Linked DNA regions of Coturnix japonica. The protein of the gene in region 1 interacts with the protein of each later gene in a biochemical or structural test. Links are inferred from orthologs where the notes say so. Each region holds a gene or a part of one and is shown in the gene's direction. Other genes may lie near its edges. The genes, in order: RIPK1, TNFAIP3, CRADD and OTUD1.

Region 1 (7,720 bases):
CGTAAATTTAAAGCTGTTCCTTTTTACCTGCAAAGCTGTGACTTTGAGGGAGAGAAAAAAACCCGTGATCAGAACCTGATCTGGAACTTTAATTTTTCAGATTGTATAAATGTAAACCATGTTTGCTTTGGAATCATGCATGGAAACAGACCAGACATAGAAGAAATCATTAAGGAATGTCCAAAGGAAATTATCGACATAATGAAACAATGCTGGGAGCAGGAGGTAGAGAATCGACCCACCTTCGCAGGTAAGACATAATTGGGGGGATTATTTTTGTTATGTGCCCATCAATAGTTTACAACGCAGCAAACGTGAATTAATTCTCAGTTAGAAAATAAAGTGACCAACTCAGATGCCCAGTAAAGCCCAGAATCCAAAACAACTGAAGTTAGTAAAAGCCTGAATTGAATGGTCTGACAGAAGGTGGCAGGGGGGGAGGGGGGGGGGAAGAAGGGTGGAAATAAGAGTAATCATCAAATATACAACATACATAAGCTGGTATTCCTCATTTCCTTTTGCCTTTTCTCTCTGTCACAATAGAAGTCCCCAAAAAGAAAAACTGCATGTTATAGGAAATAGGGAGTTAGGATTTATGCAGAAGCACCTAGAGCTTCATATGCAGCAGAATCAATATTCATGGGAAGCATATAGACATGGAGAAGCAAATCAACTGTTTCTGTATTTAACCTGCAGTGATGTTTGTAGATTCTTTGAGTAATTCCATCTTTAGTAGAAGTAGAGTAGCTGTTTATTCAATACCTGAATGCAGGTCTTACTGTTTATTTTGGCAGCCAAGGGAAGGTACTTCAGCCACAGATCACTTTCCTCCTAAAAAGCAATAAGACAACCAAAAAAATCCATAGAAATAATCTTATTCTTTTTAACTACACTAAGGCTAAACAAGTCATGTGCGTTTAACTTTCCCATTACTGTTTCTGACTTGATATAAAATCACAGAATCACAGAATGACCCGGGTTGGAAGGGACCTCAAGGATCATGTAGTTCCAACCCCCCTGCCTAGCAGGGCCACCAAACATACACATTTACTAGATCAGGTTGCCCAGGGCCCCGTCCAACCTGGCCTTGAACACCTCCAAGGACGGGGCACCCACAACCTCCCTGGGCAGCCTGTTCCAGGGCCTAACCACTCTCCTAGTGAAGAACTTCCCCCTAACGTCCAACCTAAATCTTCCCTCCTTCAACTTAAAACCATTTACCCTAGTCCTGCTATTATCAGCCCTTTCAAAGAGTTTACTCCCCTCCTGGGTGTAGGTTCCCTTCAGGTATTGAAAGGCTGCAATGAGGTCACCCCGCAACCTTCTCTTCTCCAGGCTGAAATCTCCATCGACTTCTTGTACATCAAGGCTGTTAACAGTATAAGTTACTTATTTTCTACTGAAAACCATCTTCATCTAGTTCTCCTTTTTTGTGTGGGTATATATACATATACATATATATATATATATATTTTTATTTTTTTTTTTGCAGAAGTTAGTAACAAGTACGTGCCCTTTTACCATCAAAATCTAGAAAAAAATATTGACAACGATCTGAAGAAGATAGAAGTGAGTAATTTGTTTGGTATTATTTCCTAAGTGTTAAAGTGTCGGTTTCCCAACCATGCCATGACACATCCCCAGTTACTGCCAGATTCTCCCCAGCTCTGCTCATGCCTGACCAACCTGATTTCCTTCAGTGTAAAAATGGATGGATTTGTGAATGAGGGGAGAACACTGTACATCATTTACCTCAACTTCAGGAAGATTTTCAGCACTGTCTCCCCAAATATTCCTTTGTCCAGGATTAGATGTTACCATTTGGACGGGTAGACAGCCAGATGGGTTAAAAACAGGTGGTCCTAGAGGGTAGTGGTTAGCAGACCCTACCTCACCTGGAGAACAGGAACAATTGGAATAATACAGGGATCTACTATACTGGGACATGCCCCGATTTACACCTTGATCAGCGACCAAAGGAGCTATCTCATAAGGTGTGCAGATGACAAACTATGGGGATAGATAAAGTACCATTGTGGTCAAGGGTGCCCACAACAGTCTAGAAGAATGGGATGACAGAAACCTTATAAAACTCCAAAACTATATTGCTTGTAAATTCCCAGCCTGCTTGAAAGCAGGACCTGCACAACAGCAATAAGAATAGTTCCCGTTTTTATTTGAAATCAGTTATTTTTCCTTAGTGCTTAAGTTGGTTTCTCTTCCTTGTCTGGCTTGAGGTGCTACCACTTTCTGACATTCATACAGAACCTCTTGTGATTCCATTTGTTCCCACCACCTCTTGTCCTGTCACTGAGCACCACTGAAAAGAATCCATCTTCTTTACACCATGCCATCAGATATTTAAACACACTGACATGACTTCCTCTGATCCTTCTCATCTCCATGCTATCCCATCCCAGCTCTCTCAGCCTCTCTCTCACAAGAAAGATGCTCCAGTCCCTTAGTCATCTTATCTGGACCTTCTCTGTTGGCTCTTATACTGCAGGGGCTCAGAACTGAACACAGCACTCTAGATGAACCCTGAGTAGAGGAGAGGGATCACCTCCCTAGACCTACTGGCAACAGTCCTCACAATGCACCAGGACAACATCAGTCATCCTCACTGCAAGGGTGTATTGCTAGTTTGCACTCAATTTGACATCCACTGGGACTCCCAGGTCCTTTTCTGCAGAGTAGCCTTCCAGCCAATCAGCCCCTAGTATATATTGGTGCATGGATTTATTCCTCCTTAGGTGCAGAACTTAGCATTCCCTTTTATCAACCTTCACGAGGTTCCTGTCAGCTCATTTCTCCATCCTACACATGTCCTTCTGGATCATTAATGGAGATTTTGAACAGGATTGGACTCAGTGATGACACATGGGGCACACTGATAGTTTCAAGCCTCAAACTAGACTTCAAATTACTGAACACTACCCTCTGGATCCAGTTATTCAACTAGTTTTCAAGTCACTGTGCACTTATCTAGCTCACAGTTATCAGCTTCTTTGCTAAGACCTTAGGAGAGACATTAATTATGAAATGTATCCCTATGTGCCAATTAAACTTATACTCATTTAGGTAAATGGTGTTCTCTGGCCAGCTCAGAATTACTACAGTTGCATTACAGTTCTTCCTCCTTTCACTGAAGATAAGATTTTGCCCATCTGTAGCAAAGCAGCGGCTATTTTCTGCAAGGCTCTGTCCTCTGTAAGATTGATGGAATCTGTTCACCCAGGTGACTTCAGTATAAGGATGTGTTTTCTATTCTATAGGTGCTTCCTCTCGTTAAGCTTTTACCTATAACTTGACCATATGCTCTTTTCTTACATGTAGGAAATGTGGCCCAAGTCAGAAGAACTGCTGCAGAGGATGAAATCCCTTCAAATAGATGCTGTAGTAGATACCAGCAATGGCCAAATAGGTGGGTGTTCCAAGTTGCATAACTAGCACATCATCCTGGCATGTACTCTGCTAAAGATAAAGTTGCCCCTTTTGTAGCTATGGAGAGACTCAGTCATTCAGTACTTCTAAAATCCAGTAGAAGTCAAATCCTACTAACTTTGCCCACACCACTGTAAAGATTTTATTAAGCAAGTAACTTGGAACTATAACAGGCAACCGATAAACCTTCACCAAAGCTATGTTTGCCATAACAGAAGTAGAACTATTGGACCTAGTAAGGCAGGCCAATTGCTGTACTTTTAAAGTAGCGTAGGTACATTTCCCTAGCAAAAATAATAATGTAAGACTACAGATTACAGATGCTTTTGTGCTTTTTTTTGGTGACATCTCCAGATAGGATTTCTACATAATCTTTTGCAGATATGACTTCAGTGACAAATTATTTGTGTTGCATTAAGTAACGCCAATTACAGTGAGTTCTATCTTCCATCTTGTTATACTCTGGTCTTACACTGGTTAAATACCAGTTAATGAAGTCAAGACTTGGTAGTAAATTAGACCCTATGAGTGCTGCTGGGAACCTGTTGTTTCAGTGACTAAGAACCTGGTGTCGATATATGCAGAATACACAGTGAATTCAGACACTGCTTTCCTAAGCATAATTCAGTGACACTTCCCAGAAAGGGAAGTATTACATAAAACAGCTTATGCTGGAAGTGATGCTACAGTTTCATCTTTTATAATTTACCATAGTATTAAAAATAAATTAATAGAATCTAATGTCACCACTAGTTATATACTTGCAATAGAATCTGTTTTAAATACTTCATTTTTTTCCCTTTCAGATCAACCTAATTCTCTACACAGCTCTCAGGGTCAGATTAATGAAGCCTTGTTTGCTGCCTACCCTGAGAACCAGCCTGTTGAGAGCTGTGAGACTTCGTTTACATCCCCTGACAATCTTGAAAGAAAACTTGAACGTGAATACGACTACCATGCATACGGCAGCCGGATGGATAAATCAGTAGCTCCACCATACAGCCCTGAAATGAGAGAGAGAGAAACGAGACCTAAAGTTTCCAATGATCCATTTGCAAAGCTGCCTTCTGTTCCTCAATGGGGTGAACTGTATTACAAAGCTGAAAATATAGGATCAAACACTAACCCTTGGTTTTGGCCAAAACAAGCTGCAATACCAACTCAGGGAAATTTAGAAAATTTTTATGGGCCAAACGTTAACAGTCTCCTAACAGGAAACACTGAAGATCGCTATGATCCATGTTCAACAAGTGCCTTTAGCCTAAGCAAAACTCCTGTGCCGGAATCTCGCCCAAACCTGGGGGCACAGAACAGCGTAAACCAGCAACAAAAGAATGCAGATGTGGATACAGGTGAGATTCTTCCTCCTCTTAACTCTTGTGTTTCTGAAAATGTGTTTTTTCCTCTAAAGACAAAGCAGCCTTAATAATAGCAGACAGTGGATAATACTGCAGCAGCTAACAAAACCAAGAGCTCTTACTAATCACACTTGGAAAACTAAGGAGTATTTTTGACTCACAGAATGTAACATTCACACCACAGGCTGTGTGCGCAAAAATGGAACTTTTCTCATGTATGTGCATGTAGCATTTCAGAAAAGAGATATTTAAGCTTGATTTGCAGCAAGTTAAGAGTTCAGGGAGCTAACAAGGAACTAAAGCTCTTAACTGGTTTCTCCAGAGAACACTGCTCAGTGCTAACACAGAGATGCCCTTACAGTTTGCTAGTGAACTGTGGAATAGAAAGCTATGGAGAAAACGAAGAGAACAGTGAGTGTCAGTAACAAGTGGAAGCAATCATTGTAGGGAGGCAACATACAATATCATGGCAGGCATCAGGCAGATGCAGAAGACCTGCACTGCAGTTCTTCTATTGTCTTATTTGGTGACCATAACCCAGTCACTCTTACTGCCCAGTCACAAACTGTCAGAGCTCATCTGAGCGCATCCAAATCCATTACTACATCAGACAGGAAGTTACATCTCTGCAGGACATTATTGCTACCAACAGAAGATACGGTGGCATCCCCAGCTACAGCTGGTCACAACTAACATGCTAACAAACCATGATCAGTCTCAGCAGTAAATAGCAATGTGCTCGGCAGCCTTCTTGGTTTGGAGGCAGTAATACCTGTGTCTACGCTGTGATCCTGTGCTGCTTTCTGCCAGGCAGGTGTTCATACACCCATGTGGAATCCTGTTGTTCTCACTGGGATCCAAGGATCACAAAGGCTATCAGTCCATAAGCAAAACCACAATAAGGGTAACTGCTTCAGAGTTATTAAAGGAGATAAAGTCCTGTTTGTTAAAAAACTTTCTGTCTTTTTGTATTTAAGAGCGCTATGCACACTGTACAAATAACAGCAGTACTTGTAGATTTGTTTTTTTTAATTTCCATAACACTTCTGGCATTTCCTCTCTCTTTAGGTATCAAGGTTTCTGCCTCTTTCACAAGGGGAACTTTCACATATTATCCTCCTGCAACTCCAATAACCAGAGGTAAATGCTGTAGCCTTTGTTTGTCTTGGTAGCCAACAGTTTATGCATTGCATTACGATCAGTGAGGAAAAAAGCTTCAGCATCTTCATCATCAGGCTGCCCAGGGGGGTGGTGGAGTCTCCTTCTCTGGACATATTCAAGACCCGCCTGGACGCCTACCTGTGTGACGTGGTTTGGGGAGCCTGCTTTGGCAGGGGGGTTGGACTCAATGATCTCTAGAGGTCCCTTCCAACCCCTACAATTCTGTGATCTTGAAACAATTCATCCAAGAGCTTTAAATATAGCAGAAGTTATATTACTAAGCAAAACTAATTTCTGTCTCTACAGTTACCTGTATATACATATTTATATTTGCTTGATCAAGGATGTCATCATCTTTAATGTAAATCAAAAGGATCATTCTAATCAGCCTACCTTGGAGCACAGGTCTTTAAAGTTCAGCTACCTTAAACCCCTCAAGTTTTGTCCTGTTCTAGGGCATTTTGGTATGGGATAGAGTAACACTGGCTTTCAGTAGAGCACAGCTGTGTCACACTACATGAAAATACATTCCTGATTGCCTGTGCACTGCAGGGGAGTCTTACTAGATGACTTTTAAGGGTCTCTTCCAACTCAAACAATTCAACTATTACTATGTTAAATGCAAGAATTTAATCACTCCCTTGATTATCAAAACCTTCATCCTCACCCTTCATACAGGACTGCTTCAATTTTTTATTTGCATGCAGATGTTTATGAAACTCTATTAATTTCCTTACACAGAAGATTCAGTCATGTACAACATAACTAACAGCTCTAGAATTCAAATTGGATCCCACAATCACATGAAGATTGAAGAGCAGAAACAACACACCAGCACTTCTCCTGTTGCTACAGAAGCATCTTACTCATACTATGAATCAACGGGTATATTTGGTAAGATACATCTCCCTGGCTTCAGTGTATTATCCTCAGTGAGAACAGTACAACTTAGCTGCTCTGTGACTCCTTTTCTACACAGTAGCACAGTACTCCAGTGGTGCAGTGGTAGGAATGCCGCACTGCAACACCTGAGGCCTGGGTTCAAATCCCCCTGTGGCACAAGTGGTAGAAGTGCTGCTCTGCTACACAGGAGGCTCAAATCCCAGGGGTTGGACTCGATGATCTCTAAGGTCCCTTCCAACCCGCACGAGACTGTGATTTAAAGACCTGTGCCGGTGCTGTTCTGTAATACTGTGTATCTTATTTCTTTTTTGGCTTCATGAAACACCAGATCCAAGTACACATGTAGAGGAATAGCAATGCTAAAACTGATAGAAGTGAGACTGGGATTGATGGTTCTCACCTAAGTATTCTATTAGGGTAGAATTTGGAAGATTTTTTTTAAATTTCTTTAAGTCAATATTGGATTAACTACTCTTTTATTCCTAAGTAAACAGAGTTACAGAGTCCTAGAATATAAAAGAGATCACATATAAACATCAGTCAGCTACACAAGAACTTTAGGAAAGAGCTTGTGAATTTGGCAGGTGTTTCAATAACAAACTTAAGTAGACTCAGGGGGAAAAAAAGCAAGTCTCCCAACCGACTTGTGAACACATGTTCCGACTGTGAGCTTCTTTTGTGGTATTCATTAGGTAATATCACCTCCACTTTTGATCCTGTCACTAAAGTTCTACCTCAGGATATTGCAAATACTTTGGAAAGGACAATTGGCATATGTAAGGGTGGCTAATATAAAGATGTTGACCAAGATGGTGGTAAATAGTCAAAGGTTATTAGTAAAGAAAACTCACCAA
Region 2 (7,807 bases), on another chromosome or scaffold:
GTGTGCACACATGAGCTTGGTCAGTAATCTCTGTGCTGCTGCTGTCTCCCGTACTGGCGATAACATGCTGGTACTACCAATGCTTGCCTTGTTCAGAAGGGTCAGCCTAGCAGCACAGGAATCACAGAATCACAGAATGACCCGGGTTGGAAAGGACCTCAAGGATCATGTAGTTCCAACCCCCTGCCTGGCAGGGCCACCAAACATACACATTTACTAGATCACGTTGCCCAGGGCCCCGTCCAACCTGGTCTTGAACACCTCCAAGGACGGGGCATCCACAACCTCCCTGGGCATGCTCAGAAGTGGCTTAACTGAGCTGCCAATTTATTAATTCCCCTTGCCTTGGCCAGCTGTGGTTGCTTTGGAGAAGCCTGCCATAGTCTTCCCAAGGAGAAGTGGAGCTGAGTCAATCAGTCCCCTGCAGTCCCCTGTGCCCTCTGCCACTGCCCTCCACCTTCTGCCAGTGAGCTGAGTGAGCTATAGGCAACTTGGTGAGCACAATGCAGCAGCATCTCGAGTTACCAAGGCATTCATTCATTCAACAACAACAACAAAAAAAAGCCTTTATGTGTACATATTAGAACGTCTTTAATGTTGGTCAAACAGAAACCTGAAATAAGAGCAGGTAATTTTGCTTGGGAGTTTTATGATGACATCTTTTTGTACTAATGCTAATTCTCAAAAAACTCCCTGTGTCTAATACTGAAAGACAGCCTACGGCGTGCAACGCAGACTGCCCCCTCCTCCGGCCTCGCTAAACTGAACACTGTGTACGTAATCTCTCCCCCTCCCACTACCCTTGATCTCTGACAGCAATGATTCTTTTTGTTATTGATTCGTGTTTTACCCCTCTCCACCCCCCCACCCCCCCTACACACACTTTTTTTTGCTAAGGGCCTGGTACAAATACATGATGTTGGGCAGGAAGTAAGATTTCCCCTGGTGAATTACCATGGGGGAAACTTAGGTTTTATTCTCTGCTTATGGCTTCGTTTCAAGGGATTCATATGATCTAATACAATTGCGTATGGTGAGTTCATCCAGTTCCCAACCCCATACTTTTTTTCAAAGGCTCAGTGGCATGACACAAGAAAGGGACAAAATTCCCTTCTCATTTACAATGTAAAGCCCAGCTGGTGAGCTGGGGCTCTGCTCCAAGCTCATGTGCAATGTTCCTCACTTTGAAACAAGCACCTCTCCAACTGGCTGCTCTCAGATAACTGTGGGACATAGCCTGGTCATGGCATTAAGTGCTGTGCAGCCTGAGAACACACTGCCAGAATTCTCACTTTATTAATGACTGAAGCAATCATTTCATTTCCTCTTGTCTGACATCCATGATAGAAGAGCGTGCACTGAAGTGACACCTGGTAAACATTTTGCTGCAAGATCTGATAACGTTTATACTGATGTCAATCCTTAATAATTTGATGGACTTCAGCAACTTTACTCTAGATTTTCTGTAAGATAATGAGGATGGGAATTTGGCCAGGTATCTTATACAAACAGTGTCTTACTTCCTTTTTTGTGTTCTGGAGTAAAAAAAGAGGCATTCAGTTGCTGCTGTTGCAACCCACATGCCGCAAAGACATCTCTAAGCAAGCAGACCTCGCTGTTATGTCCTCTTGTACATAATGGCACACCTTGCACTGGCTGCTGGTTACCGTGTAATGGTAATTAGGCATCTCAGCCTGTTCTGTGGTCCTTAGTGCACAATCACTTAAAAAGCAAGAAAAATAGCCTGACTGACATTCCAACAGGATAAGTTATAGCTTACTTGCCTTCTAACTTATAGCCTGCAATGAAGATCAAACTGATTTTTACTTGAGGGTACAGATCAACATCATTTTTCAATTACGTATTATTCATACACAGCCAGCAAAATAGATGATGTTGCACACTGTTTCACAATCACGTGCATGTCTAGACCAGCCTATATCTACTGCCTAAAAGAAAAGAAGAAAAAGTCATCGTTTCCAGAGACTTTTTTTTCTTTTTTTTCTTTAAAAAAAAAAAAAAGGAAGTTTTGGGGGTGGTAATAGAGCCATGAATGCTGACCCTCAGCAGAGCAGGTCTCTTTGAAAGCTGGTGCTGGGGCAGGTGCTTGGAGCCTCCAGTGTTTGCCAGCGCTCCTGTGCATCTGAGTCATATCAGCCATGTGCACCACGGAAGTTCACAACGCATTACTCAGAGCAGGCATGTAGCTTGGGCTCTGCCAAACCCGAGGCTACGTGAATGTCAAATTAAACATATTCATCACCAGAATGTTCTTTCTCTGTTTTTCTTTTGGGCATCCAGCAGGGAAGACTTATTAAGGCAGAACTTCATATTGTTGGGATTTCATTATATAATTCACTGACTTACAGTTTGCTTTGTTGTTACTTCAGGCATTTGAGCTTTGCTTTTCTCTCCTGCACTGGGGCCTAAGTCAGACCTCCACTCTGGGCTATACAGTGCATTCAGTCTTCCCTGGGGCTTTGTTTTTCCACGTGTCCTCACATTATAAGGTCACTACAATGTTAAATTACCTCACTGTCACGTGTGCTTCGATCCAGACTGGCTTTCCTCTACCAGAATAGCAACCCACCAGCAGCTGTGACCAAGAACAAGCTGATCTGTGTTGTACAGAGCTTCCTGATACTTTCCGCCACATGGCTACACATGCACTTCCAGAGGCGCCTACACATGCTGTAGGTTTCCAGCTTCAGCTCCTCAGAGTGCCTGTGGTGGTCTCCCTCTGTCTCCTGGTGACTTTTGTCTTGTTGTCACCCACCCTCACACCAGTCAGGGTGCTCCTGAGTCAGTTTCTGGGGAGGATACTATCCTCTGCTTTGTCACTTTGGAGAAGGTGAGAGTGTGAAGTGCAGCTTGCTGGAAACACCCAGCCCCTAACACTCCTCCTTGGGCTGCCTACTTCATCTTGTAGGTGGCTTCTCCTGTAAAAATGCAGAAGTTTGGCTGAGCTCTGCGAAGGGTTGACCTTCCGTATTTCAGTTTTTACCTCTTTGAGCTGACAATGCTTCCTATTTGGGAACAACTTTGAACTAAACTCATCAAATTCAGCTGCAAATAGAGATAGGTTTTATCTCTTTTATTTTGATTCCCCACAATGAAGTTTCAGCTTGTACTAATAACATCTATAGTACAGCTGCCAAAACAGTGTTCGTTCTTCACCTCTTAGTATTAGCATGCTTTTTTTGTTTGTTTTGTTATGTTTCAGGGTATAACTAAATATTATCACTGCTAGAGAAAGTGTATCTAAACCGTATTGGTCATGACCTATTTTTGCTTGGCTAAAAAGGAACAAGATACTTGAAAGTACATGCTAATTTGTAAAACTTGAACAAATCAGTTTTAATACTGCAATAAGGGAAATGTGAATGTATAGAATGAATCCAGCAGAGCCTGTAATAAATAGAAAATAATTGCAGGACATCAGAGAGGACAGCAAAAACAGGAGATGGTAACTTCACAGCCACGTGGAACCAGTAAGTGTTTAATCTACAAACTTTCTTGTTTTCAGCTGAGTGAAGCAGAGACAAGTAGACACAAGAAAAAGTACAAACAAGTTCTTTATTCTGCAGCTCCATTTGAGCACTCTAAAGATAGCATCAAGGACTGCATGGAAATCCCCTGGATACACTTTGTAATTTTTTCCGGTGAATCTCAGGATAGCAAATATGAAAGGCAAGGGTAAGAGAATGACCACAGCTGGTGTAGGCTGCACTTTGGTATTCCGCTTTTGCGGTGCAGACACCCAGAGTGGAATTAATCTCAGCTGTCTCTCCCTCCCCTGACTACAAGGGGCACCCAGATGACTAGCTCAGATGTAGATGTTTACACTGGTTTACAAAGGTGACATTCTGGAGTAGATGCATCCCACGCGCCATTTCTGAGGTGATGTTTCCTCTTGAAGAAAGCTATAAAATCAGGGCAATATGCAGATTGTCTTTTGCTTTGTAACTCACTAACTAATCAGATTTTGATGCTGGGCAAGCCATGAAAATACTTACAACTTATGGCAACTAATGCCTCCCGAAATCAATGGGTGGTAGGCAGTTAAATGCTTTGCATCTCTGGGGCAGTTAACCATCCATGAATATATATTTGTCTTGCGAGAAATTAGAGAAGTAACACTCACATAACTCCCCTCAATAGCTGTGAAATTTAAATAATTAATTATGACAATACTCACTGACATCCTGAAGTAAAAGGTCTGACACAAATAATTATACTTGATGTTTCAGTCTGTATTGATGATGTACTTGTTCCCCACCAACAATGCAGTTTTGGGACATATTGAGGCTAAACTTTAGACAACCTTTCATTTTTCTGAAGTTGTGTTTTCTTTCAGGTACTCCTTGGACATAGAAGAACCGAGATGAAACCTGCCCAGAGGGAGCATGTGGAACAAGATACACGTCCCTGCATTAAACAGTTACCTAAATAACAATCTCGCTATGTTACCATTTCCACAGTTATTTCAAGTGTTCAAGAAATGTATTTGAACTCCCAAATAATTCCCTGCTCAGCTCCTGTATGTTTCCAGTGTAGAAAAACAGTGTAAGTGCAGTAATATGAAGGCAGGGTTGTTTGGACCAAGTGTTAACTGCAAAACACTTGGCACTGTTACCAAGGACAATGTCTGCTCCACTTGCATTAATAATGCATTCAAAGAAACAGGCTTTTCCTTTGCAGTAGATGGAACTGCATCAGTTCTCTTTCTAACAGAGCAAAATGTTGTCAAACAACAAGATAGTGTCACAGTTCTGCACACTACTTCTAGTTGGCTACTGATCATCACATTTAGCTTCATTGAATCATAGAGATGTATGCAAGGATTTGTATCCAGCTTACACAATGAGAAGTGTTACGAATGGGGGGATATAACTGACCATTTATTTACTCTGAGGTTTTCAAAATTATCAGGGGAGACGAAAATAAACCATTGTGGCGTGAACAAGGAAGCTAAGTGAGAAGTTCATCTCCTCTAGTTGGCTGTTACCTATTACTGTGATGATTTATTGCCATAATCAAGGAAGAAACACCCTCCTTGCAGTGGAAAAATGTTCCTAATAAAATAAAGTTGTGATCTCAGTGAGAATTGGGAAGTACCAGTAAAAGCTTAGAAATATTACCATGGAAAAAAAATATCTCAGCAATGGAAATACAGGGGAAAAACCACTTCTCCTAACTTGTTTATACATCCACAAACTACATAATTCCTTTTTATCTCTGCAACAAATGAACTTATGTTAAGATATTCACCCATTGTGCCCTCCTACTCTCTTTGTTGTTTTCAGCTTATAATTCTCCTGTATTAAAATGCGTTTGTTTCAGTGGGTCTGGATCGCTAATCCATCTATTTTACCCTGTTTTACAGACTCTTTTGTCTCCTTAATTTTTACCATTCTATTACTCTTTCGCTTGTTTTGGTTAATCTGTAACATTATTTTTTTCCAGGCCCACAGAAGAAAAGGTTGAATTTGATTAAATCTGGCATGAATCTCTGCAGAAGATAAGTAGAGAAGCCATTTGCTGAAGGATACTTACTGCCAATCTACTTTTCCAGTTCAAAGTGCACACTGATTTTGGCAGCGAGAGTTTCAATATTTTTCTGACACAACATTGTATGATATTGAAACAGATACCTCACAGAAGTCTACACCATTCCTTCTACAGATCATACTAGTAACTGATGTTGGAAAAGCATGGGTTTTATTAATTAACATGGAATCACATGAGTAATTTTCCTTTGTATTTAAGTGACTTTTTCAGGATTTGTGGGTGTAAGTTGGACTCAGAAAGAAGTGATGGTAGTTACTTATATCGTGTAAGAACAGCACTTTCCATTACATTTATAGGTAAGACAAAATTAAAATCAAAATAACAACAACAAAAACAAACCAGGAAGTTTACAGAACAATTTTCACCTCTGTATTTAGAATTGTTTATCTCTGAGGAGATACTTACTAGTTCTGAGTTGAATCTGGTGATAAAATCTTTATTGCCTTTAGTTTTGCTAACCTTTGATTTTCCCTCAGTGTGACTGCAAGTTGAACAAGTGAAGAAGTCCAAAATGTTCCTAAGTTCCTCCTACAAATGTTAGTGCATTTTTTTGTAAAAAGGAACGATACTGGAAAGATCTAATAATGTTACACAATCCAAAACTGACCTGTAATGGTGGCACATGGTATAGAAATTCTCCAGTAACATTAACCTTTATTAGTCCCAGTATACCCATCCAAACACCATGAAACATAAACAAAGTAAAGCCCTTGGAAAAGTTTCATACCAGGGAATTTTTTTACCTACCCTCTGTCCCAGACATGCAAACTAGCATATCTTCTGCCATCCTGCGCTAGGCTTCGCAGAGTTTTAATCCCTGTATGTGGGTGAGAAGTGGTTACGCTGTAAAAACCAACTCAGATGTCAAATGAACTAATGGGTGACACATAGTAAGTACTGGCTTAGAGGTCAACCTTCAGGTCTTGGCAGTATGCGGTAATGCAGAAAGTTCTCTCCTCCTACATGTCTGCGCAATTCATCCAGCTCCACTGCCGTATTCCTGCTGCTGACTTGTTCTTATGCAGCAGAGGAAAGGATCCTTTTCTCTCAGCCTGGAAAATGTGATGGCTTTTATTTGTACTTCCACTCAAGGCTAAACAAACTACAAACACAATTAAAAACAATTTATATTTTATTCTTTTCCTGTATTAAATAAGATGAAACAATGTGTTATGGATTTACACACATTCACTCTATTAACTTCTAGTGTAGTGGATATTTTTCTCTATAGGAGCTGGTCCTGCTCAGTGGCGGGCTTGTGTCAGAGCTGTGATTGGAAACAACCCAAGGGAAGCCTTATTTCAAGAGCAGTGTCTATTTATCTGATTTCTCTGTCCCTCTCATCTGCAACAGACAGCACATATTTACATTGTACCTTGCTTTCCTCTATAAATGACATGCTACTTAACCAAAGCAAGTAGTGAGGGGAAAACGAAATCTTGCTTGCAGCTATATTTATTTTGTCACCAGAATTAAGTTTATCAAGTTAATCACTGCAACTAAAAGGCATCATCTCATCTCACTGAAAACGGTGAGAAACAGGAAAAGTCATACCACACCCAGAAACCATGATTGCATTGTCACTGAGTAACCTGACTTTTCTCAACCAGTGACAGGTGATTTTTTCCAACCGGTAGATGGTTATTTTTGTCCTCCCACTTCTAGTTTGATCAAAAAGCACACATCTCAATAAAAGATCTTCATAAATAATCTACTTTTAAACACTCACCCAGGCTGGTCTCTGTGCCAACCAGCAGTACAGGGGCTCTCCCTCTGTCTCTCTTCCTTCACTCCCCAGGGATGCTGTGGTGTACCACTAGGTGACCTGGAAGCTCCTCCACTTCTTCTGCTTGGACCATAGCTGTACTCTGCTATCCAGAGGAACATCACCACAAAAACAGATCTGATGTCATCTGATCAAAACCCACTAGTAAGAAATCAGGGATGATTTTGACAGTTGTCTTCTAGTTGTCCTCCGCCTCATAAATACACAGACTCCTCCTCACCACCCCTTACCAGTGAGACACAAGTGAAACAAGCCTCTCATGCTGACTTATCTGCACAGATTTAATGTGGCTTATCATTACAAGACCGAGTTAAGCAGATCATGCAGATGTCTTGCTAAAGAAAGTGGTTTATTCAGACTTTGAAAACTTTCTTTTTTTTTGTATTTTTCTTTTTTCTTTTTTTGGTCCTACAGACGTGTTTCAAGAATAAATTCTACCAACTTCTAGAT
Region 3 (8,193 bases), on another chromosome or scaffold:
TGGCTCCCTAACTCTGTCCTCAGCTGCCTATGGAGTTGTCCTCCAGGATTAAGCCACAGCTGATTGGGACTTTTTCAGCACTTTGGATTCAGGCACATCATTTCCATCAAAGTATTTTTTTACACAACAGATAGGAGCAGCCAGTAAAATGAATGGACTGCATATGGAAGAAGGATCTCTGAAACTCTTAACAGACACTTTTGGTCACACGCAGAGAAGTCATATTAACGCAGAGTCCTTTAGACAAAACCATAAGGCATTTTGGGCTGCTGGTGGTTCTGAGGAATCAGCTGGGCACTTTGCAGATCACCCCAAAACACCTCAATGCTTCCTGCTGCTGCATCCTGTGCTGGAACTGTGCCTGCTTGCTCCCCCGTTCAAAGCTCACTTTTGCTGGACTTTATGTTACATCCTCTCACTTCTGCCAAGGGGGGGCTGAGCTGGGGTGAGTTTCGTTTTCCATCCCCCTGATTGTTACAACATCTTAAAGTTTTGTGCTTTAAGCTGGGAATGTATCGAAGAAAAATGAATGCCAAAGTATGAACCGGATGCTTTTGCCCCAGACATATTTTTGGCATCTATCTGGGTTACTCTGTTTTGTTTGGTCCCTGTCTGTGATAATTTCTATTTATATCCAGGTCTGTTTCCTGTCCACACTCACCAGAATGGCTGTGTCTCCCACTCTGAGCCATGGTCCAGAAGCACACAGGCTGGTAGTTGCCGATGTTTTCATTTTGTTTTCAGCTGGGACAGCTAGGACTAAGGTTGATGGTGGATGATCTTCCTTGACCTGTTAGAGCCAGTGGCAAGGAGCAGCAGGTGGAGAAGGGGAGAAGCCTGTCCCTTTGTGCTGCAGGATTCAACAGGAGAAGCTAGAGTTCTTACTCTGATCAGTTCCAACTCTGAATCCAGGGTGAAGAGCATCGTCCCTGCTTTCAGCCCTGTGCAAGGGGATTTTTATGATCCCAGTGCTGCTCCAGCAATCTGGCCTAGAGCAGTCCTGCCCCAGGTCAGCGCACTCCCCAGCACAGAGCTGTCAGCTTGCTGTTTCTCAGGAGCTTGGTGGTTTTGGTGTGAGCAGCAAGAGGCTGGACTTTCAATCTCCACAGCATGCAGCCATGACACTTCACAGCACAAACCATGTCCAGAGCTGTTGTGGTCTTTCATTTGGCCTGCCCTCTGGAGGTAGAAACGCCACAAGTGGTCTTCTCAGGAATACCCTTGAGCACCTTCCAGGTCCCCCTGTGAAACAGAGCTCTCACCACTACAGCAAGATAATGAACAGGCAGCCCAGTGGCGCCTCAGATGCAAGTCAGGTCACACCTCCCCAAGCCCCACTTCTCCCCATTTCCAGTGGTGCAGTATGAATTTCGCAAGCCTGTATCTGTCTTAAGCACGGACATCTTCATATTGGACCTGTCTAAAGCTAGAAAAGCTTCATATCTTTGCAAATTGAGCTTTTAGTTTACTGAATGTGTATTTCAAATACAGTCAGAGCATCTGCATAATTGGAATTTATACTGTAATCTTGCTACCTCCTTCAGCCTGTTCTGACCAATGCAGATTGTAAGCGGGGGTCTGCAGTAAAAATAACCAAAACAAGCTGTCTTTAATGTTTTTGCAATGTGTTCAAACCAGCTTGGTTGCTGAGGACAGAAGAAGCATTTCCCTTTTACCTGAAATGCCCTTGTGTTTATTAAATTAAGAGTGTTATTAATCATAGATCATATCCAAACCTTTATATGATTTTACATTTGTCATAACTGAATGATCTCACTAAATATTTCTGTATACCTCTAAATAATGTTGCCTGTCATGTAATACTTGTCTCGCGTTTTTCTCAGTGAGAAGTGAGCTGAAAAAGAGCTATCACAGAAAATAAAATGGGACTAAAGTAACAGGCCTTTGTATTAAATTTAACATTTGGCTCCTGTCCCAGAATTTCCTGCATCCATATTGGAATCAGATGCTAGCTCAAGATGAAAAGATTTCCTGGATGGGTTTTATTCTTATTCTTATTAAAGGGCTGATAACAGGCTGAAGGCAAGATACTTGTTGTAGTAAAAAAATCTGCCTGATATCAAAGGCTGGATGGACAAGCTGACATATATTGTTGTTAGGCCTCCCTGCTTGATCACATTTCAGTACCATAAAATCATTCTGCTAGTGAACACGAGATGTAAAAATCTTGATGTGAGAGCAAAAAGCTCGGGCTGGCAGGTCCTCCTCCTGGGCACGGAGTTCCTGCTTAGTATCTGAGACAATACGTGAGTTCAATAGCAAGAAATACTGCTGGCTGCAGTGCAGGGTAGCTGTCTCTTGTAAATCGTACTTCTTATCAAATACTTGGACTCATATTTGTGTTAATCGCAGGCACTCAGTGGTCTCGATGTGCCCGTGGAACTGGCATTGTGTGTAATGGGGGGTCAGCCCCATGGAGCTCCTCTTCCTTCTTCAGGAGAGTTGTGCTGGGGTGACAGGCCGTGTAGGCTGGGCCTTCTTTGCCACTGCTGACATTGCCAACAAAATGTGCATCCATAGAGTATGCGTGCTATAGAGCCCTTGTCTTTGCAGATGCATTCTTGGGAGGAGATGAGGTGTTCTTGAGCTCTGTGATGAGGGCTGAAGCCACTGACCCGGCACAAACCCTTCTGTCTCTGAAGCCACTGAAGCTGAAAGATGATCTGGACATTCAGCCTTTGTTATCATAACTGGGACCTGTGCAAGGAAGTTGTGAGGCCTGTGCCCTACCCAAAAACCAGCCGGTTCCCTTGGCACCAGGAGATGAGAGGTCCCAGTGCTGTGGTTTAACCCTGCAGGCAGCTCAGCACCACCCAGCCACTTGCTCACGCTCCCCAGATGGAATGGGTCAGAGAATCTGAAAGGGAAAAGTGTAGGAACCCATAGGCTGAGATAAAGAGAGTTTTGTAGGTAAAACAAAAGCCATGTACATAAGTGAAGCAAAGCGAGGAACTCATTCCCTTCTTCCCATCACCAGGCAGGTGTTCAGCCACTTCCAGAAATGCAGGGCTCATTGTGCGTAATGGTTTCTTGGGAAGACAAATGCCATCTCTCTGAAAATCCATCCCTTCCTTCTTCATTCCCCTGGCTTTTATTATTGTGGTCCATGATGCTGTATGGTATGGGACATCCCCTTCGTCAGTTGGGTCAGCTGTCCTGGTTCTGTCCCCTCCCAGCCCATTGCTGGCAGGGCAGCATGAGGAGCTGAAATGTCCTTGGCTCTGTGCATGCACTGCTCTGCAGCAATGGAAACATCCATGTGCTATCAACACTATTTTCATCAAAAATCCAAAACACAGCATCACATGAACCCCTAGGGAAAAAATAAAAATAAAAAATCTCTATCCCAGCCAAAACTGTGACACCTAGATGCTCTCCAGAAAGCAATTTTGCCTTTACTCAAAGCAGCTCCATACAGCACTCGTGTGACTGGGCTTGAACAGTACAAATGTTTGCAGGCTCAGGGTAACCTATGCAAAAACAATTGTTGTTTTGAGACAGTGGAGTAGTGCTTTCTAGTGTTACTGTTCTGCTGTGGCAGAGACTTTGAGCAGGGTATTGAAGCTATAAATTAGATTTTGCAGATCGACTCCTCTGAAGGGAAGCTGCTGTTTCAGATTGGCAGGCTATAATTAGCATTTTCCTGAGGTTATTTTTGCTCTGTTTTGACGCAGTGTCATCAGTGACAAGAGTAGAGTAGCAAAAAGAAATAACCCTTCATTTCAGCTTGTGATCTCAAAAGGTATCAGAGAGTGAATATGTTCTACAGATACGCTGCTTTTCTAGGTACACCTTTTCAAAGCAACTGGTCTGTGGTTTGAATTTAAAGGCAGAGAACTCTTTCACTAGCACTGGGCGTTTACAGCATCAACATCAACATGTGAGCTTATACCCAGCGCTCCTTTTATAGTCAACAGAGAGAAACGTGCATTTTTAGAGGAGTAATTCATCTAGTCTATTTTAAACATCTTCTTTCCAATATATGAATTGTATTCTAGAAGAGCCTATTTCTCTCCTCAGCAGTAATTAATCCTAGCACTGTTAGGGTTTATTCAAATAAAAGCCCCCAAAGCTGGCCACCCAAAGATGATTTTGCTGTATATGACAGAGAACAAAGGGTAAGCAGCATCTTAGGAGACTGAAAAGGCTTTCTGGTAACTAAGGAATCAGTTATTTCTGAGGTGCACAAACAGAGAGACAGGACCAAAGTGATAAGGTTATTATTGGTCCCATATGTGTCATCGTACAACAAGGCTGATTTTCAGAATGTGCCGACTGCTGGAAACATGTTCCTTCAGAACCTTTCTTGTTCACTCCCCTCAGACTCCATAATTACTTCTGAAAGTCCTGGCTTCAGAGTGGAATTCTGATATCTGGATTATTGGCATTCAGAAGCTCCAGGCTCTCTAATAAGGTCCATTGAGCATTAGTTTTCCTCTAATTAATCTTGTATTTGATTATGTAATTCATTTTTTCTGGTTGAGTGTGCTTGCCATTTCTCTAATTAATTGATTATTTCACCTCAGCTTTGCTTATTCTCTCCTTGTCAAGGTTTTATGTTAATATTTGCAACATTGCCTAGTGATGTGATTTTGCATTTTCTTTCTTTTGTATTTACAGATTCAACCGCAATTGCCCCACGTATTCTGAAGAGTTCACCCACAGATCAGCAGATGAACAAGCTTGCGAGGAAGCTGGGACCTGAATGGGAGCATATTGTTCTGTGCTTGGGTTTGTCCCATACTGACATCTATCGATGTAAAGTCAATCACCCTCACAACGTTCAGTCACAGATAGTAGCTGCGTTTGTCCTGTGGAGACAGCGTTTTGGGAAGAGTGCAACAATCCAAAGTCTGCAAGCCAGCCTGATGGCAGCAGAGGTGGATCCTTCTGTGATGCAGTACATGCTTGAGTAAAGCCTTGCTTTGGAAGCTTTCAAGTTCTTTGCTAAACTGAGTACATCACTGAGATGAATTGAAGATCTGGTGCATCAGACTGGCAAAATTGGGCTTGAGAACTGTGATTTTATTAAGATTCCACATTTCGGTTTTCTGTGGCACCTTGTGACTTCTAATTCTTTTCATGCCAGATTTCTTTTTAGCAGGCATTGAAAAATGGATCGCTCTTTCCTCTTTCTTTGCTCTTGTACTATTCCAGTGGGGATATAGGGTGACGCTTAAACTCCTTGCATGCAGGAGGCCCTTCAGCAAGGTTTCCCTTTTCACTGTGGGAGCAACACTTGATTTAACCTGTTTTCTGGACTGTGGACTAAGAGCCGTTTTTACTGCTGATCCATGCTAGTTCCCTGATATCCCAGTAAGAAATGAGAATAATCACTGTTACTAATGCAGCGATTATACAGCAGTTACTGCAGGTGGCCCGTTTCACATTTGTCAGAGCCTTCGCGCATAGCATTTCTTATTTGGGTAGATGGCTGCCACCTTACTCTACCTTTCAAACTGAAATGAGATGACTTCTAAGTTTCCCATCTTTGTCTCAGCTAGTAAACTGGTGTCTGCTCAGTCTTTGTACTACAGCATGTGTGCAAAGGCAACAGAAACGGCCAGCTGCTCTTAAAGACCTGATGGAAAGAGGCTAAATACATGTTAATTCTTTATGGGCACTTTACTGTACTGTAAATGAGGAACAATGTTTGAGTGCAGGGTTTCCAGGTCTATTTATGAGCAAGTTCTGGTCGACCATTTCATCTATACAGAGTCATTGCCAAATAACTTCCCATCCTACAGGATCTGCTCCATATAATTTAACAGCTTAACAGGCTTGTCAGAATTCTTTACTAGGGAAAGAATGAGCTTTATTGCCTTTTTCTTTCTTTTTTAATTCTTCCTTTACTCTGATTTTTGAAGCCATTTCCCAAAGATGGGTAATTAGGAAAAACAAAGACATTTTCAGGAAACATTGTCTGCCTTGCTTTTCAGAAGCATGAAAAGAGAAAATGTGTCCTGCAGGTCCTGAAGTGATCTGGTGGAAGTCTTCTGCTTACAGTTTTCACCTTCTGTAAATCATGATCCTGTTATACCTCACTCAGATCTTAATTAATCATATCCTATTACAGCTATTTACAGAGTCTAAGTCTATCAACAAGTCCCAAATAAACAGTTTAAATCAATTTAGGCCATGTTACTTATTTTACTAGTTTGCGATGCTTTCATTCCAGCATATACTTCTTGTTGAAAACAGTCCTAGAGGTATACAGAGGCATTTGGCAAATTCACATAGACACGGCGCAGAGCAAGGAGTGTGAGGACTCTGAACCTGTTCTGCTGTGAGATGAGCACCAGCGTGACATGCATGTTAGGGAAGAGGGCCAGAGCGGTGTCTGTGGCAGCAGGGAGATGTGGAGTGGGATGAACTACTAAAAACACGGCTTACAGGAGGAAGGCAGCTCCCAGTCACAGAAATGCAAGGACCTTGTCTTGCTCTGAGCCAGCTCAGGCCAAGTCTGAACGCAGGCTGGTGACATGGGGAGCCATCCCTAGCCAGCTCAGCCTGAATGCGGCAATACGACCAGTCCTGCGGTGAAGTGGTACGATGGGTGGTACACTCACAGGGTCCTGCTACTTTCTTCTCTGCATGACCTTTGGACTTTATGTTCTTCTTTTACAAGGCCAATGTCAGATTATGCATAACTATACCTAGAGCATTTTAAAGGAAAGAGCTTGGAACACGTATGAAGTCTCATGCCGAAGAAGCCTTCCTAACCAGTTAGGTATCCTAACAAATCACCTAATTCATAACTTATAGCTGCTTTCACATTCCCAGGCCCAAATTTAATGCTGTAATACTTGAGCTGCAAATATCGAAGGGAGAGGTTTACTTGTTTTATGAGACTGTTTCCATTGCTGTTATTTTTAAATTCATGGAAATGTTTCTATTAGACTCTTCAGTTTTATTAAGGCTTGTTTTTGCACCACACAAATACAGGGACACATTAAACTTGACAGTAGTATTCTTTTAACCCAGTGGATTTTTCCATCTACTTAAAAATATTTTTCTTCTGTATGTAATGCTTTATTTTACACAAGGATGTAATTAAGACAATTTAATTCTTCAGATGTAAAGCAACGCCTCTCATTCTCTCTTAGCACAGCCAAGAGATCTTAAAATGTTTATTCTTCTCTGGCTAATTTGGGAGCAAATGTTACTCGTTTAAATGTCACTCTGAGGCAAGCCTGCGACTCGAGCATTGTTCAGGGGGAGCAGCTCCATCAGCGAGTGTCCCCATCTTTGCCTTCTTACTTTGGGTGACAACCCAGAGCTGGCAGGGGCTGCTCCCTGACCCAGGGCCGGTGATGGGAACGTCTCCCACAGCGGTCACCTCACCTGATGGCAGTTCAAGTGTTTTCAACTGTGTTCTGGTTTCTAAGCTGAAGCCAAAAAAAAGGCTTTTGAGTGCAACTGGTGTGATTGCTCCATACTTGTTTGCAGCAGTGTTTAGGTGCCTTGAGAGATGAAAGCAATGGTGGCCCCTGGCTCTTCTACAGAAATGGCTTGACTTCCAGCCCTTGGAATAAGCAGACATTGGTTTTCTTCCTTGGCCTATAAAGGAGATGCTCAGATCCCATTTAACTCTCTTTGGTGGTAAGTAGGCTTTATAAAAACCATCTTGTACTCAGTGAGTCTTGTACTGTACATCTTGTACAGTAAGAAAGGGCTAAGAGCATATCTCCCACCTGCACAAAGCAGCGTGGATTATCACAAAGGAGGGACCTCATGACCCCATGAATTAGGCTTCACATTGCTTCAAGAAGTGGCTGGAGTATAGAGGAGAACTAAAATGCAGTCATCTTCGAGCTGCTTCTCCAAGATGATGTGGGGGAAATTTCCATCTTGAGTCATATATTACGACAGTCATCGATCTATGGAATAAAACATTTTGCTGAAGGCTGGAAAAACAAACAAAAGTCACATTATATTCAAGGAATATAAAAGGCATGATGATCTTATTCTAAATATGGTCATGCAGCCAATTTTGTTTCTTACTGGAAATAAAAACAAGCTCTGAGAGCTAATCTATTTATAAGCTTCTGTATTCTCAATAGCCATAAACTAATCTTGAGGCACAGCAGAAGCAGAGCTGAAAAGTCAGTTCCTAAAAGGTTTGCTTTACAAATTATTTTACAATAATTTACAGTCTTTTTTTCTTCTTTT
Region 4 (8,193 bases), about 47 Mb from region 1:
TACCATTTTGTTTATTGGTATAAAATCACTAATATTCGCTATAATTCACTTATAATTATCTCTTATAACATTGAAGCAATATTGAATCAGAAAAATAATAGTGTTTGTATGTTTAGCCACAACAGACTAGATTAGGAAAGGTTTAATTATTTACAGAGTAGGACATTAATAAGGATGAATTGATGTCACCCCTCCTCTGTAATGGTTCCACCTGTGTTATTTTTTCTCATTAGATAGTGGAGTTAAACAGCTGTAATCTGACCTTGCCTTAACAGTTAGCTCTGTCATGTGTAGGTGGAAACAGAACAGGTTGGTGTTGTGATGAGGTAGCTTCTTCTCCTAAATTCCTTTGGAGCTAGAACAATACTTGTTGAGCTGGTTACACTGCATGTAACCATAAGCCTTTCCCACAGGATGGACCAAGCAGTGGAACAACAAAGGTATTTTATTTAATTAGATGCTGTTCCATGACTCTGAAAACACAAACTATGCAGTGTGGTTTTCTGCTACGCTTATCCATGTGTGAAGTAATGACACCTCCTGCTGCTGCTTACCAATGGAAGAATGGTAGGGAAAGCTGACTATTGCAAGGTTTTGGAGGATAGGGCAGGTGAGACTGTCCTTATAATTAGTCTCAGTCTCCAAAGCCTTTCTGCTCTAAGGCCACCTGTGGAAATGCTGGCTGCTTGGTACCTCACTGAAGTTATGTTTCTGCTTTAGTAGCTGGTCCTGTAGTACTGCACCTTTTTTTAATGTTATTTTACACTTAAAAGTTGTTGTTTATTTATTTTTTTTAATCAGGAGTTACCTATTAATGATATCCGGCCTCTGTTATTTCTGAATTACCCACTTCCTCTACTTCCTTCACAGACTGTTCTGTTCAGAACTCTGTTCTGCTCTTGGTAGGAGCCAAAATAACTTTCCTCAATCCTAAAATTACCATTAACCAGCGCAAAAATGAGGGAAGACAACTATTTCACTTCCTATAACTGATAACAAAATACAGGCACTGCAAACACTGTTATATCCTTTGAGGTTTATTAAAATATAAGATAGCTCTTTTAAAATCCTGTATGCATTACAGAGTTTGTTTGCATTGCATTACCACTGTTTTTTCTCAGAGGAAATAGCATTTATGATTCCTTTTTATATTCTGACATCATCCTTGAGCCCTATTCACAATGACCACCACAAATGCCATCTACACACTGAGTAGAAATGAGAGACAGACTTGACCTGCGTCAGAGCTCACATTTGGAGGCTCACTTATCAAAAGGGATGTGAATCCAAGACCCTGAAGCGTGAGTGAATGTCTATATTTATCATCAGCAACCCTTTTTCCACTCTTGCCATGTGATGTCATGCTGCAGGTTACATCTCTAATGCCCAGTGCCCCCATACAGTGATATGATTTCAACCTGAGAGTATTGAAGAAACTAAACAACAAATTGTGAGGCAATTGTGAGACACATCCCTTGTTTTGTGCGGCGTATGTATACCTCAGAACTAATTACTGATACATTTACTTTCCATTTCATGTTAGTGATACAGTAAGGGTTGAACAAAGTATGAAATCATTACAAAAAAAACCCCGAACTGTCATAAGGAGTAGGAAAAAAGATTCGGGGTAGAAACAGCAGAATCTGTCAGTGCTGTTGGCTTATGACATCTACACAGGTTCATTTAACTATAGTACGAAATACTTCAGCCAGAAATATGTTTGGCTGAAGCACAGTTACATTATCATAAGTAAAAAGCTGTGGAAATGCTTATTCAGTGTCATTCAATACGTCACTTAATTTAACTTCTCTCTCCTTCTTCACTAATAAATGATCCTGCTGATGTAATTAATTTGTTCATCAAGGTTAGAAGTAGTTCCATTCTTAGGTATCCAGTTTTACGTCACTGAACGCCACTGTTTTTCCACAGCTGTTTCTATGCTTGTGGTTTGCCTTGTAAACCATCTCAACCATTCCTGGAATGTGCAGTGTAACCAGTGCTAATGATTATGTCAGGAGAAACTTTAACCTCAAGAGATGATTATGCTTTGTTACCACAGGGACTGCTTTAAGGTCTATTCTGCATTGGCAAAGGGCTTTACATTTGCCTGTCCTGAATGAGCCAGAAGACTGGGAACACTACAGAAGACAGTGAAAGGCATTTCCATAGTGTTCTGCTTGCTTTGCAAAGCGTTCTAGTGCTCATGTGGTACAGTATGCAGGCAGTGGCTGCTCTACATGCAGCTCAAAGAAAGAACAAATCAGCACCTCCTGGCAGCAAAAGGCACCACAACGTGCTCCTTCCTTTTACAGATTGCCTTATATTCAAATTCTTCCCTGAAATTTAATACTCACAGGAACTTATTCACAGCACTTCATCATTCCTTTCTATTTCCACCCTTTTCTTCATCTAGTGACCTTGGATTGAAGCATGGGTTAAGACATTGTTATTATTGCGAACAGATGCCAGACATTTACTGAATGACCTTTCAGGTAAGTGCTGACTGGTGGTCACTCCTACGATGAAAGCTGAAAACTAGCCATGAAATGCTTGTGCTGCAGAGGTTCAATGGGATTTTTGCCATTGATTTCTAGAAAGATTGGATTCCACCCAGGCCAAATGTGTGTGACTAACTCTAGATGCTCAGGCACAGAAAATGTTAGCCACGTTACACTGTCAGTATTTAATAACACAGGTAAAACGTGCTGAGGTGAACTTCTCTTTCTATTTACTTCACATGGGAGGTAATTAGTATGTTAAAAGCAATATGCAATTAACTCTCATACAGTGGTAGAGCTGTTTGTTATGTTGCTCAGTTACCTAGTAACAGATTTTGATTGTATTTTAACAGTACTAGGAAGGTTACTATGTATATTTGAAGTGAAAACATGAGGCTGATGTTACTGATACCTGTTTGTAGAATGATCCAATAGTTTGGGAGAGGCAGAACTGTCATTACTGGGAGTTTCTATGTCATCCTAAGAGAAAGAGAACTGTGGCACTAAGTATTCAAAATGCAGCACTCATTTATAACAGAAATGCTCTTATTCTGCTGGATCTATTTACTATTCTCTAACAGAAAGAGCTGCCCATCTTTGCCCTTCACTGGAAAGTGTTTCAGTTTAGCACCATTTGATCGGTATATTTTACTCTCTAAGAAATGATTTGTCCAGAAATAAAGGTTCACTGGCTGATCTCATAAGCTATATTTAAATCAAAGTTCTGAACATTCTGACATCCGAGTGTCACTCTGTAATTTCAGAGCAGTTGTAATACTTTATCCTCCTGTTAACAGGCTGCCAGAAATGCTCCTGGCTAAAGCACATCACCATTTGTTCTTAAGGCATCAACGTGCTGGTTGTGGCAGGTAATCAGGACCTTACAGTTCATACCTGATACACCTCTTACACCTCAATTTTGGCAGCAATAATGTTGGATATATAGTACTTACCACCCCCACCCATTCTTTTTCTCCTTCCTACTGCTTGGATTGCAGAACTGAAGCTCAAATCATTCATCCCAAAGTCGATCCTGAAATCTATCTCTATATATATTTTCTTCCTGTATAACTTTGAAATTAAACACAATATCCACTTTTCTGTTGTGGTAAGACTGGATGCCTGTGTTAACCCAGCACGAAGTGGGGCTCCTTACTCAACGTTATCACATGCAGCGTGTGCAGATAACATCACTGCTCGTGTCTGACGGGTGACATGCAGCTTTATTTATAGCACAGCTAAGGCAAAAAGTCGTGTTGATTGTAAGACGCCACTGACATCAATAAAACAACCACCAAAGTGGTCTTTGGGAGTTGCATTTTCAATCTGTCCTCTCCAGTTATGAACCGATGACCTATATCGTAGTTTTACATGTACATGTACACATAGCGCATTGTAACCGATGAGTTATATCGTAGTTTCATGTATACACACACATGGTTCGCATTTCCCAAAGGAAAGCTCCAGTGGGTCCCACATCCTCCCATCGCTCCCATCCCCCCCCCCGTCGGGGGCCGTTCCCTACGGAATCCCCGCCCCACATTCCAACGTGCTCGTTCCCCGCTGTAAACACGGCGCCGCTCCGCCCCCAGCAACTTCCAGAAGGGCCTCAGCTCTTCGGCGCGCTCCCGCGTAGGGGCGTGTCGTGCCGGCCGTGCGGCTCCGCTTGTGGCGCAGTCAGAATTGCGGCGGCTGCCGCCGGGCCCAGCGGGCAGCGCGGGGCAGGGGAGGGGCGGCGGGGCGGGGGGCGATGCCCCGGGTTATTTTTACCCGGGCGGCTCATCCTCTCGGGCAGCCCCAGCGCGGCCCCCGCCGCCGCTCCCCGCCCCTGCTCCGGCGGCGCCGCCTATAAAGCGCCGCCCGCGGGGGAGCCGAGGATGCAGCTCTACAGCTCCGTGATCACCCACTACCCCGCGGGCGGAACGGCCCCTCCGAGCGCGGCGACCGTTTTCAAGGTCTCCATCCCGCCGGGACCCCCCTCCGCCGAGGCAGCGAGCGACGCCGCCGGGCCGAGCCCGAACCCGACCGCCGAGAGCCCCGCCAAGGACGGCCCGAGCCCCGGGGGCCCAGCCGCAGCCGCCATGCCCGCCTTCTCGTCCTGCCTGGAGGTGATGCCGAGCGGCCCCGCCGCCGCCGTCCCGCAGTACAGCTCCTGCGCGCAGCTCACCGTCAGCCGCCGCCGCCCGCTGGAGCGCGTGGTGCCCATCCGCCTGCTGCCCCGGCCCGAGCCCGCTCCGCACGGCCGCGCCTGGCTGGAAGGCGTCGTGCAGAGCGGCGCCGACGAGCCCAGCAACCGCAGCCTGCGGCTCAGCGAGCACTGCCAGGCGCTGCAGGCCGCCGCCAACCAGCCCGGCCCGCAGCCCGAGCGCGGCGGGGAGGACCAGGAGGGCGGCGGAGGAGCGGGCGCGGCGCGGCGGGCGGAGCGCAGCGAGAAGCTGGCGTTGTACCTGGCCGAAGTGGAGAAGCAGGACCGGTACCTGCGGCAGAAGGGCCGATTCCGCTTCCACATCATCCCCGACGGGAACTGCCTGTACCGCGCCGTCTGCAAGGCGGTGTACGGGGACCAGCGGCTGCACGGCGAGCTCCGCGAGCAGACGGTGCACTACATCGCCGACCACCTGGACCACTTCGGCCCCATCATCGAGGGCGACGTCGGGGAGTTCCTCATCGCCGCCGCGCAGGACGGCGCCTGGGCCGGCTACCCCGAGCTGCTGGCCATGGGGCAGATGCTGAACGTCAACATTCACCTGACGACGGGCGGGCGGCCCGAGAGCCCCACCGTTTCCACCATGGTCCACTACCTGGGGCCCGAGGACCCGACGCGGCCCAGCATTTGGCTGAGCTGGCTGAGCAACGGGCACTACGACGCCGTGCTGGACCGCGTCTGCCCCAACCCCGAGTACGAGGCCTGGTGCAGGCAGACTCAGGTGCAGCGCCGGCGGGATGAGGAGCTGGCCAAGTCCATGGCCGTGTCCCTGTCCAAGATGTACATCGAGCAGAACGCCTGCTCGTGAGGCCGCCCGGGACCAGGGCTGTGGGGACAGATGGGTGGAAGCGTGCTGGCCGTGATGGTGATGCCTTAATCCTTAATGAAGCAGCAGCACCCCGGACTGAGACGAGCGGTAGATCGCGGGGGATAAATCCAAGTGTGTTTGTAGTATTCTGTTGTAGAGACATAGCCTCGGATTATTTGCCAGCAGGTTCTCTGTTCGTTTGTGTCTCCCTTCCTCACCGTTTCTCTATTTTCTATGAGAATGTATTTTTTGCACATTTTTAAACTGTTACGTCCATCTTTTACATCTCATGTTAGTATCTGGCTTTGAGCTGTATAGCCAAAAAACATTTGTAACGATTTTTGTAAATAAGGCTTATGATGTAACAGCTATTTTTTGCTGTGTTTTTTACCCATAAACCTTATATTTCTACCTAATGAAGCTGATGTCGAATGACCCTCCCAAACTGGCGAAAGCATCGTGGCTATTGGCAAAACAATAGTAGTTGTTCAAGCGCAGCAAAGTAGAAGTCTGCTTTCTGAACAGTTGCTTTCTCTGCCTCGAGTACAGAACAGGTCCTCTGAGCCGGCTGGAATGCAGCTCCACGTGCACCGCGCAGGGAGCAATTGACTCTTCTGTATTTAATTACTGTTTTGAGTAAACTGGCCTCTCGTTGCCTGGTTGGCTCACCCTCTGCTCCATTTATGTTATTTATCTGTAATAACAGAACATTAACTTGCAATAGAATGTTGTGACTAGATAATAGCCTACCGCTTTGGCAGTAATTGCCTTGGCTGCACCTCGGTGTTTGTGTTCCTGTTTCTGGGGTTATGGTGTCTTTTGTATGAGCCATGCTTCTGTTTTGGCGCTTGTATTGCACCAACAAATCGTTATCTGATCACAACATTTTATTCATTGGATGTTATTTTCTATATAAGAAATCAGGAATGGTATTTTGAGTTAAAAAGTATTTAAATTGAGATTTGTATGGTTTGCTGGGTCAAACATTTAAATGTTTCCAAGCTGAATTCTGTTTCTTCTACTTTCTGATTAACTTGTTAGATATATTTATTAAGTACGGCAGTTTGTACTTTTTTTATTTTGTAATATATTGTGATTTTGGAATTTATACAGTATTTGTATAATAGGAATATTCTCAGCTAAAATGGAATGAATAAAGAATATAATTTTACTTGTGTTCTTTTCCCATCCTTTCTGTTCCTAGTGTGAGGAACTGGAAGTTCATTCAAGAGCCTTTACTGAGTTTCTTTGCTTTATTTTCCCCAGTGAGGAGGGGGGAAGCAGGGACATGAAGTTTGATGAATGTGAACAAGTGATGCTATGGGTGGCCTGGGGGTGTGGAAGAAAAGCAAACACTTAATGACAAGTGTTTCAAATCTATTGCAATTACAAGTGATTTTAGCATAAATATTTGCCACTAAGAAATCCCTGAGGGATTCCTGCCTGTACCAAGGGTTGGTACTGTGGGTTGTGGTGAAGCAGAGCCCTACTGGGCAGTGCAAGCCTTCACTTAGTCTCAGATTGCACACAGAATCTGTGGGTGCCCCATTCCCTGGTGGCATTCAAGGTCAGGTTGGTTGGGGCCCTGGGCAGCTTGAGCTGGTGGGTGGCAGCCCTGCCTATGGTGGGTGGGGAGGGTGAGTGGAGCTGGGTGGGTTGTAAGGTCCCTTCCAAGCCATTTAATGAACTTTTGTGTCTGGGAGCCTTTATTCTGCAGCCATTCCCAAGCTCGTTTTAGGTTAGCCCTACCTCTGCACTTCTATCAGTTACTTGGATAGAGGTTGTATCACTAGGAGATACAGCCTTTTCCCTTTCCTTTTAAAAGTGAAATACCTTACAAGCTGCTCAATAGCATGGTGTGTATTTACATACCTATCTTTGCCTCTCTAAAAATAGTGGGTCATCTTTAAACACACAGGAGAGCGCTGGCTTAAAATTAGGATTAAAGATAAGTAGCTGAGATGCTGCAGTCTTAATTGAGCACGTGTGTTCTGATAATGAGCTACAGGACTGATCGCATGTATGTTTGCCTTATGTGTTGCAAAGAGGAAATCAGAAACTTATGTTGTTTCCAAAACTTTCTTGGTTTGAATTCCAAGTGTATTTTCCACACACACACAATAATGCTTTCTCTTTAAAGGTCAAACAGCAGTGGAAGAAGCAGTCTTGCTGGTTGGTCCACTGGTGCTTACCTTAACTAAATCTCTGGAAGGCTGAACTCTGAGGGGAGAACGCATCAAAGATGCAGACATGGATGCGTTCATGGGAAAGAGAGACAGCTGATGAGGAGAACATCCCGGAGGGCTCCTTAGGAGTTCTGATGCCACTGCACACATATGACTGTAAGGAATTAAAATTGTTGAGCTGATTTTAAAAGCCATTAAGAATGTATTATTGAAGCATATAACAAGTTAATTTAGTGGCTTGCATTACACACTGTGTAAATTTCAGAAGAAAAATGGATAAATGGTATGTTAGGTGCATAAGGCATGTGGAAACTGAATTGTTTTTGTAACACTGCTGTTTATAGTTCAGCTGAGACATGGAGTTCATCTTGCCTGAGAAGGTGTGTTTTATTAGAGAGAGTGGTCCCAACATGGGCAAAGCTGTGTGCCATCCCCCATTCAATAGCACTGCAGCAAAAGCACAAGAAGAGGGTTTTCCCTTACTGTCCCCGTTAC

Evidence for each region.
Region 2: of the proteins of RIPK1 (region 1) and TNFAIP3, one has a biochemical effect on the other in vitro, tested with the Homo sapiens proteins (2 studies listed by BioGRID). The link is inferred for Coturnix japonica from reciprocal best matches to the Homo sapiens genes RIPK1 and TNFAIP3.
Region 3: the proteins of RIPK1 (region 1) and CRADD form a complex in vitro, tested with the Homo sapiens proteins (2 studies listed by BioGRID). The link is inferred for Coturnix japonica from reciprocal best matches to the Homo sapiens genes RIPK1 and CRADD.
Region 4: of the proteins of RIPK1 (region 1) and OTUD1, one has a biochemical effect on the other in vitro, tested with the Homo sapiens proteins (2 studies listed by BioGRID). The link is inferred for Coturnix japonica from reciprocal best matches to the Homo sapiens genes RIPK1 and OTUD1.

The regions. Positions count from the first base shown.
Region 1 is NC_029517.1:63,192,240-63,199,959, forward strand, and holds part of RIPK1 (receptor-interacting serine/threonine-protein kinase 1), read left to right. Parts: intron 1-100; coding exon 101-250; intron 251-1,492; coding exon 1,493-1,569; intron 1,570-3,336; coding exon 3,337-3,424; intron 3,425-4,250; coding exon 4,251-4,796; intron 4,797-5,870; coding exon 5,871-5,942; intron 5,943-6,704; coding exon 6,705-6,857; intron 6,858-7,720. UniProt on the Homo sapiens protein: Serine-threonine kinase which is a key regulator of TNF-mediated apoptosis, necroptosis and inflammatory pathways.
Region 2 is NC_029518.1:49,351,461-49,359,267, reverse strand, and holds the end of TNFAIP3 (tumor necrosis factor alpha-induced protein 3), read left to right. Parts: intron 1-3,434; coding exon 3,435-3,700; 3' UTR 3,701-4,330; downstream 4,331-7,807. UniProt on the Homo sapiens protein: Ubiquitin-editing enzyme that contains both ubiquitin ligase and deubiquitinase activities.
Region 3 is NC_029516.1:40,970,125-40,978,317, forward strand, and holds the end of CRADD (death domain-containing protein CRADD), read left to right. Parts: intron 1-4,641; coding exon 4,642-4,937; 3' UTR 4,938-6,151; downstream 6,152-8,193. UniProt on the Homo sapiens protein: Adapter protein that associates with PIDD1 and the caspase CASP2 to form the PIDDosome, a complex that activates CASP2 and triggers apoptosis.
Region 4 is NC_029517.1:15,710,720-15,718,912, reverse strand, and holds the end of OTUD1 (OTU domain-containing protein 1), read left to right. Parts: intron 1-2,413; 5' UTR 2,414-2,492; exon of another isoform or gene 2,493-3,295; 5' UTR 3,296-3,934; coding exon 3,935-5,512; 3' UTR 5,513-6,683; downstream 6,684-8,193. UniProt on the Homo sapiens protein: Deubiquitinating enzyme that specifically hydrolyzes 'Lys-63'-linked polyubiquitin to monoubiquitin.